Linked DNA regions of Xenopus tropicalis. The main gene of each other region encodes a partner of the protein of the gene in region 2 in a complex. Links are inferred from orthologs where the notes say so. Each region holds a gene or a part of one and is shown on either strand. Other genes may lie near its edges.

Region 1 (4,282 bases), on a different chromosome or scaffold from region 2:
GGTTTGTTAAAGGGCCTATGGTTGAGGTAAAACTCAGTAGGTAAAGCACTAGAAGGTTTTGTAGTAGTTTGCTTTAGGAGTGAAAGCCAGGATCAGGGTAGTTAGTAGAGTAGTCAGAGACTCTAACAAAGAAACCAAGGAAGGTTAGTACCCTGCAAAGTCACCTGCCAGTATAGGGACTCAAGCGCTAGGGTCAGGAATAGGAGATTTCAAGGGACTACTGTAAGCATCCACTAGTGCTGGGGACTACCTCTGGGGTGTTGTAAACATTACGCTTGTGATTAGAAAAGAATACCATCCAAAGAATTAAAGTATTTGAGCATTTATGAGACAACTGATGTTTGCACCATCTTATCCTCCAATACCAATAACCAATGCCAATAACAAATCATCACATTGGGCGTATTAAAAGGATTAAATGGGTATGGCTAATTTTATGCTGCCACCTTTCTGGTTTCTACCTGCTTTTTACCAGGACAGCCCAGTTTTCAAAAGGGCTGTCTGGGTCAAACCTGCATGGCCAGTTTTCCAAACAAGAAAAATAAGCAGGATTCTCCTACACTGATGCAGAACTTTTCCAGATTGCTGTAGCAATGTGCCAAATGATACCCACCCCACCCTGTCTGGCTTTCAGAATGGGAAAAGGTGGCATCCATATTTGTACAGTAGTGCTACCGTATTTGGTTTCTTGATTCTTGAGCTGGTGTTGATTTTCTAAACCAGATTATTTGGTTGGTCAGAAACCAACATCAGCAATGGTATAGGGGGTCATTGGTCAATCCAAACAGGACTGGGCTGTACTCTGCTGTGGTGTCTTTTCTTCTGCCCTCTTGTTTGCTCTCCCATTTTAGCTTTTTACTTTGGGATTTGGTCGAATCCCAGTCTGACACATTGCATACAAAATGGGAAGTATTCTAGTGTACAGCTAGTTGTACTAAATGCCAAAATTTAACTGGTGATCAAAATTTTATTTCTAGGTTTTCTTTATCCTGTGGCACCTTATACAATGTCAATACACAACTGCTTAACCAAAAACCATATTATCACTACGCTTTATGTATGCTAAAAAATGTAAACTTTGAATAGTAGTTCTTTTGTTCATATGTTTTATATTTATGTGAACAGCTATAGTTAAAATTGTATCATATATAGCAACAATACAGGCTATGGAACAATGTCACCATTTATATAGTTAACGAGGGTCATTCAAACTAAACGCTTGTTATCTCAAGCAAGCGTTTAGAAAAAACCCATATATTTTCTCTACACTACAATTACCGAGATGCTTTGCGAACTGTCCGTCTCATGTGATCGGAAGTAGAGAGGCTGGATGCGCGGCGTGTCCTTGGAGGGGGAAAAATGGCTTCCGCAGCATTGAGGATACTCAAGTGAGTTTGTGTCAAGCGCTGCTGCTTTTAACTTACTGACAGAAAATGTCCGTATTCAAGAATTCTTGCTGGGCTGTATTGTCGGATATAGTTAGCTTCAAGCTTTACGAATACCACGCCCTAAGGCTTTCTGCTTCATATGGAGAATGAGTCTGTGCGAAATAAATGGTTTTAGCAAATTCCTACTCATTTTAGGTTTGCCACCAAAGCAGGCCTGGCTGGGGGAGCTGTGTATGTGGCGTATGACCAGGGGCTGCTGGGCAGTGGCACCCAAGGAGAGGAGGTGCTGAAGAAGACCACAGCTGCCATACCGCCTGCCATTCAAGAATGGGCTAATTACTTCGGCTGGCAGGTAAACTAATTAAAGAGGTGTAAGTGTGTGTGTCTATATATCCATATCATATATATAATAGAAAGAGTGCCGCACTCACAGGGACTTGATACAAAAGAAAGTGTTTTTATTGAAAAAATTCCAACATTTCGAGCACAACCAGTGCTCTTCCTCAGGTCCACAAGTCCCTGTGTGTGCGGCACTCTTTCTATTATATTTTTGTTTTTGACCTGCACCAAAGGCATTTGGACTTGTATAGGGTGTGCTCCTCCCTGTGTACCATATCACACACACACACACATATATATATATATATATATATATATATATATATATATATATATATATATATATATATATATTTTTCCTTATTGGATGCAAAACAATCCTATTGGGTTTATTTAATGTTTTATTGATTTTTTTAGTAGACTTAAGGTATGGAGATCCAAATTACGGAAAGACCCCTTATCTGGAATACCCTTGATCCCAAGCATTCTGGATAATGGTTCCTATACCTGTATAAGGAACAGCGTAACTTATTTTGGCACAATCCCTCCTGTACAGGTTAGTACAGTGCTATACAGCCACAGTTCCATCAGTACATTACAGAGCATGTGTAAATGTTTTTATAGCATGTTTTAATTAAACTGCCTGAGGTGATGTGGCTGCTCTAAATTTAAGCAATGTAGATTATGCATTGCTCGCGTTAAACAGTCAAACATGGAGGTTTACTACCTCTTTAAGCATTTTAGACCAATGTAGATTATGTTTGTAGCATGCACAAGGCCTTAAACTAGTACATTATTGTATACTTTGTAGTGCCAACATATTCTAAAGCTCTTTACTGGGACTGAATTATACAGTATATAAAATGATAACAATAACATGTAAGAATGAAGAGAGGTCCCTATTCACTAGAGCTTACAATAAGGAAATGCATTGACTAAAGGTCCCCATACACAGTAAGATCCGCTTGCTTGGCAAGATCGCCAAGCGAGCAGATCTTCCCCCGATATCCCCACCTACGGGTGGGCGATATTGGGGAGCTTGAACGACCGGATTATGTAGGCGGCAATGGGGCAGTCGGTTCGGGGACCGCATCAACGAGCCGATGCGGTCCCCGATCCGACTGGATTTTCTAACCTGCCCGATCGATATCTGTCCAATTTCAGGCCAGATATCGGTCGGCCAGCCCGCTTGTTTCTGCCCCTACATGGGCCCTTGTATGGGGGCCTTAAGGCTAAATGCTTGCTTGGGCAATGTAATATGAAATGTATCTTAAATAAGCTTTTGCAAGTTTTCTTATTGCCCTGTGGATCAACCAGTTTCCCCAAAGACATGCACCTTCATAGAAAGCCTTCATTTGTGAACAGTTAAACATATGATGGAGTAGTGCACTTTGATTTTAAAACAGGCAAAATCCTATTTAAATGTATGTACCACTGTATGTAATTCTTTGTGACAGTGACATACACACAGAGAAATAATGTATTCTTTGTTTTTCTCAATGTCTGTGTGTATTACCCATGGACAATTGTTAAATAGCATTTTTAAGTATATTTGCAGCATGGGAGAGGTCTTGGAGGTGTTACATACGGTTGAAAAAAAGACCAGAGTTCAACCCTTCCAAGTAAACCCAGCACACAAACCTATACTGACCTATCTATGCACTCACATACATAAACTATATATACAGAAATTAATACTAACTGTAGATATTAGTGTAGCCCACCCTAGGGTATGGCTTGGTGTACTGTAGTTGTGACTGTGGTGACACCCCAAAGATTCCCAGTAAATACCAACACAAACAGGAAGTAAACCCAGATTTATTACACAGGAACTGGGCTGAAAATGAGTTAGAAAAATTAAATGCAGATAAATGCAGAAAGTATGAACAGGCAGAAATAGCAATAACAGTGCAATGCAATGTAAACTGCACTAGCAGTTAAGTTCTAACAACAAAGTTTGGGAGCTCCCCTAATGTCCTATAAGCCGGCAGCGTTGGGGCCCTTAAACAACAATTTACATCCAGGATGCTTGTACTTTGTTATTATAGCTTCAGAGGAAACCAGCTTGGCTACATTAGTATCACAATAGCCTTGGATATTCTGCTTGTTCAAGAACTCATCCAAGCCCCTCCATCCAGGCATTAACAGAATCTGCGATTGCAACATCACTAGGAAGGGCATTCCCCAACCTCACTGCCCTCACCATGAAAAACCACCTACGCTGCTTCAAATGGAAGCTCCGTTCCTCTAATCTAAAGGGGTGACCTCTGGTGCGTTGATTGTTTTTATGGGAAAAAAGAACATCCCCCAACTGCCTATATTCCCCTCTAATGTATTTATACAGAGTAATCATGTCCTCTCACAAGCACCGGAAAACATCCCCTTTACCAGTTTAGTTGCAGTCTCTGCACTCTCTCCAGCTCATTAATATCCTTCTTAAGGACTGGAGCCCAAAACTGCACTGCATACTCAAGGTGAGGCCTTACCAGGGACCTATAAAGCGGCAAAATTATGTTCTCATCCCTTGAGTCAATGCCCTTTTTTTTTATACAAGA
Region 2 (3,829 bases):
TAGAAACAGGGAAGCTTGGAAGAACAAGTAGCAGGGCTGGACACCCAGGAGGTGCCGATGAGAAGAACTGATAACACCACTGTGCCATTTCTGTCGTAAATGTGCACAAAACACAATAAACTGTTACATGTACAATCACCGGTATTGTACCCGTATAAATGAGCTTACACAAACAAGGTACGTGACACTAATACCTGCTAAGGATTTAGCTGCTCACATATCATTTCGATAAGAAATGGTACATGCAAGTCCATCAAGTTCAACCCTTACAAGTAAACCCATATTAAATGTAAATGAAAACACAAACAACTTAGAATGAAAAACATTCACCTCCCTGAAGGCAAGAATGCAGGGAGAGGCTTTTTCTGTGCTGTTTTTCCCCTTCTAAAAGCCTGTTGTGTTTATGAGGTATTTGACCACTCTTGTTCCCTGCCTTAAGGGTTCCTTCAAATAAACAAGACATTACACGTGTTACTGTAAGCGCATTCTGTATGTTGTATTTCAATTGTGAATTGAAAACACACTTAATGACAATCCAGGGTACATGACAAGCTATCTATCAAGAGAGTACATCAACTCCCTTACGTTCTAAATATATCTGGTTATCGTCCAGGAACCAATTACTGTAAATATCAGCAACAATTCTGCTTGGCTGCTACAAACACCTCTTGTGACATACTAAAATGTCCCTGTTGCTATGGCTGAGGATTTACTCATTATGTAACACCTTACAGCCAACAGAAAAAGAAAGTGCTAATTATTTTGCTATGGAAACAATTTTTTTTTAAATACACAGCAGCAAATATTGTTTAATAATACTGCATTGTGTTGCATGTAACTCAGTCTGTCACGTACCTTTCCAGTAACTAAACAGTATTTCAGAAGATATACAAATGAACTACAACATACAGAAGAGAGGGGATTGATTAATGCACATTGCTAGTAATTTTTTCATTGAAAGTATATCTATATTTCAAAACCAGTAAGTTACAAAGTTATGATCATAAAAGTGTTAAAACAATCTGTAGATTCTGGTAAGTGCAAGCGGGGCTGCTGTAAGATGCCATATAGAAAGTCACTATTCATTGGGCTGGTGGGTACTTGGAATGCCAGGGCTTATCTCAGTCTGGACCTGGTCCTGACTATTTACCTCTGGCAATACTTTTCACAGAATAGCACCTCTCTGAATTGTTGCATTTCTTGTGAATATTTTCTCCTGACCAAAACACTGGTCTCAGTCAAAGACTTCATCCTAACCCCACCAGCTTTCTTAGGGTAGAGAGACTGCTTTGGTCTCACAGGCTTAATCCTCCCCCATTTGTGGCTTTTATAGCTAAGAGATGACACTAGACAACCTATCTTTAAAGGCATAAGACCACCATTAAAAGGGACAGGTGTGTGGGTGCTGCAACAATGACTTCACTAATATACATTATAGTTTCACTTTTAGTCAGACTGTTCATTCATTTTTACTGTATGACACAGTGATACACTGCATTACCTTTGCAATAGTAACAGCTTGCTGGGGATAATAAAGCGAGGCTCCAAGACCCATAAAACCAAGTGGATATATCACTTTTTTTACTCTTGAACCTGTTAGCAATTAAAAAAAGCACAATTTCAGTAAACAGTATTAACAAGGCTCATACTAATGCATAGCATACATTGGTCTTTCCCTGTTGTACAACAATAGCTTACAGCAATAGTGTAACTACAAGTTACTGGATCAACAGCAAGTTTTAGGTCTCTACTCCCATAATTTTTGTTTTCATAAACATACTGTATATAGATATATATGTGTTTTAGTCAGTCTCCCACTGGGTACTGCAGTTTTTTTTCTCAGTGTGACAGTTAATAGGGTGGTCCCCCAAATACTCAGCGCTTCTTGGTGGAGTTCTTTGAAACCAAATCTTCAATATAGTAGAAACTGTGTGATCGCGTGCTGCCTCCTCATAAGAACAACCCTCCCTTTTTAGATGGGTCTCAGATGTGTGTAATCGTGTTGATGGAAGCGCATGGAATTAGAGAAAAACAAAAGCAAAACTAGTGCAATACGTACAAAACTTTCTTTGTGACTAAAACGCTAAAAGATTTTTAGCGTTCTAATTTGGTGCAAAGTGTGCAAATATATTAGGTGAATCGAACAATCAAAAGTGCTTATACATCAGCCCAATGCAGTGTATCACACCCACACGATGTGTCCAAAGTAAATGCTCTCCTTAGTCCTCAGAGTATATGGAATGAAGAGGAATCGAAAATAGTATAAAATCTTTAATATGTAAAATAAAGCCCCTGCACAATGCAGGCTACTTACAGTGTGAAGCAGTATATCAGACACAACAAAATGCCCTGTAAGTAGCCTGCATTGTGCAGGGGCTTTATTTTACATATTAAAGATTTTATACTATTTTCGATTCCTCTTCATTCTAAGGACTAAGGATACACTGCAATCAATAGCCGAATTGATTTCTCTACATGCTCTTATTTCAATCAAATCTGGTGAGCATTTACTTTGGACACATCGTGTGGGTGTGATACACTGCATTGGGCTGATGTATAAGCACTTTTGATTGTTCGATTCACCTTATATATTTGCACACTTTGCACCAAATTAGAACGCTAAAAATCTTTTAGCGTTTTAGTCACAAAGAAAGTTTTGTACGTATTGCACTAGTTTTTTTTTCTCAGGCTGGTGTGGGGCACCAGCCCTGGGAAAAAAATGTAGCAATCTATTTCACGTGGAGGGGGGGGGGGGGTTAGTTTTGTAATGTATTTTGCAATTTGTATATCAGTGAAACCACAATTTACATACCCTGATTTCAAGTTTTCCCTCATTTTACACATTTTTTGTGATCCCACCAATATATTTGATTTAATCACAGGACACATATCGTTCCTGTATTAAAACACCAGGCAGTTTGTGTCATACCGACCTCTAGCGAGGAACAGGCCAACAATTCCAGCAAATCCAATCAAGCCCAGCCTTGGGTAGAAACCTGGAGGTGCATCTTTTAGAAATTCATATGTCCCTACAAACAGTGCAATACAACAGTTCAGCAATTTATCACATGTTGTACAAAACACAGTTCTGAGATAAAGCAGGGACAGAACAAGCTATCAACAAAATTCAGACAGGCAACCCAAACAATCTAAAATATATCATAATCCCCCAATGACTCTTAAGACACAGTCTTATGTGATTACCTTTTGAATGTTCTACAGCAGTCTCAAATTTGGGTTTGGCTTTGATGTAGGCATCCTAAAGATACATAAAATGAGAGAAAAGTTACTTGTGTTATATGGAGTGCAGAATGCATGATTTGTATTTATACGTAGCAGTACAACACAGGTATTTTTTTTATAATATAATCTATACATACACTTGCAGCTAAGAACTTATATTATAAAGGCTCAAATGAACTGTTGGGTTCAGTAAACACTATTTTACACTATGTTTCAAGGTTTTACAATGCCTGTTTTTCTTCCCTTTTTAGATTTTTAGTTTACAGAACTAAAACCTAAAAATAAATGCTAGTTCAGACCCAGAGGTTCATGCAGAGCATGAAGCAGAAAAGAATATATGGAGTTAGTGAGGCATTTTTAAGAGGCACAGGTCTTTAATGATAAATAGCTGTAGTCTCCTTGGGCTGATACAGAAGCCCAAAACATAATGTGTAGTATTTCCAGACTACTTTTTGGTTAAGCTTTAGTTTTTCTTAAAGTTGATATTCTCCAGCTTTGTTGCTCCAGCTGCTTTATCGGACAATATTGTACAATGTTTTCCAGATCAGATAAAGTCAGATGGTGTGTTTTGTTCATGCATCTACAT

The links.
Region 1: apoo (region 2) and micos13 share a complex: the UniProt entries of both Homo sapiens proteins name them as parts of the mitochondrial contact site and cristae organizing system (MICOS) complex. The link is inferred for Xenopus tropicalis from reciprocal best matches to the Homo sapiens genes APOO and MICOS13.

Annotation. Positions count from the first base shown.
Region 1 is NC_030677.2:114,330,375-114,334,656, reverse strand, and holds the start of micos13 (MICOS complex subunit MIC13), read left to right. Parts: upstream 1-1,276; 5' UTR 1,277-1,359; coding exon 1,360-1,388; intron 1,389-1,583; coding exon 1,584-1,740; intron 1,741-4,282. UniProt on the Homo sapiens protein: Component of the MICOS complex, a large protein complex of the mitochondrial inner membrane that plays crucial roles in the maintenance of crista junctions, inner membrane architecture, and formation of contact sites to the outer membrane.
Region 2 is NC_030678.2:43,125,983-43,129,811, forward strand, and holds part of apoo (MICOS complex subunit MIC26), read right to left. Parts: intron 3,260-3,829; coding exon 3,205-3,259; intron 3,030-3,204; coding exon 2,934-3,029; intron 1,594-2,933; coding exon 1,502-1,593; intron 1-1,501. UniProt on the Homo sapiens protein: Component of the MICOS complex, a large protein complex of the mitochondrial inner membrane that plays crucial roles in the maintenance of crista junctions, inner membrane architecture, and formation of contact sites to the outer membrane.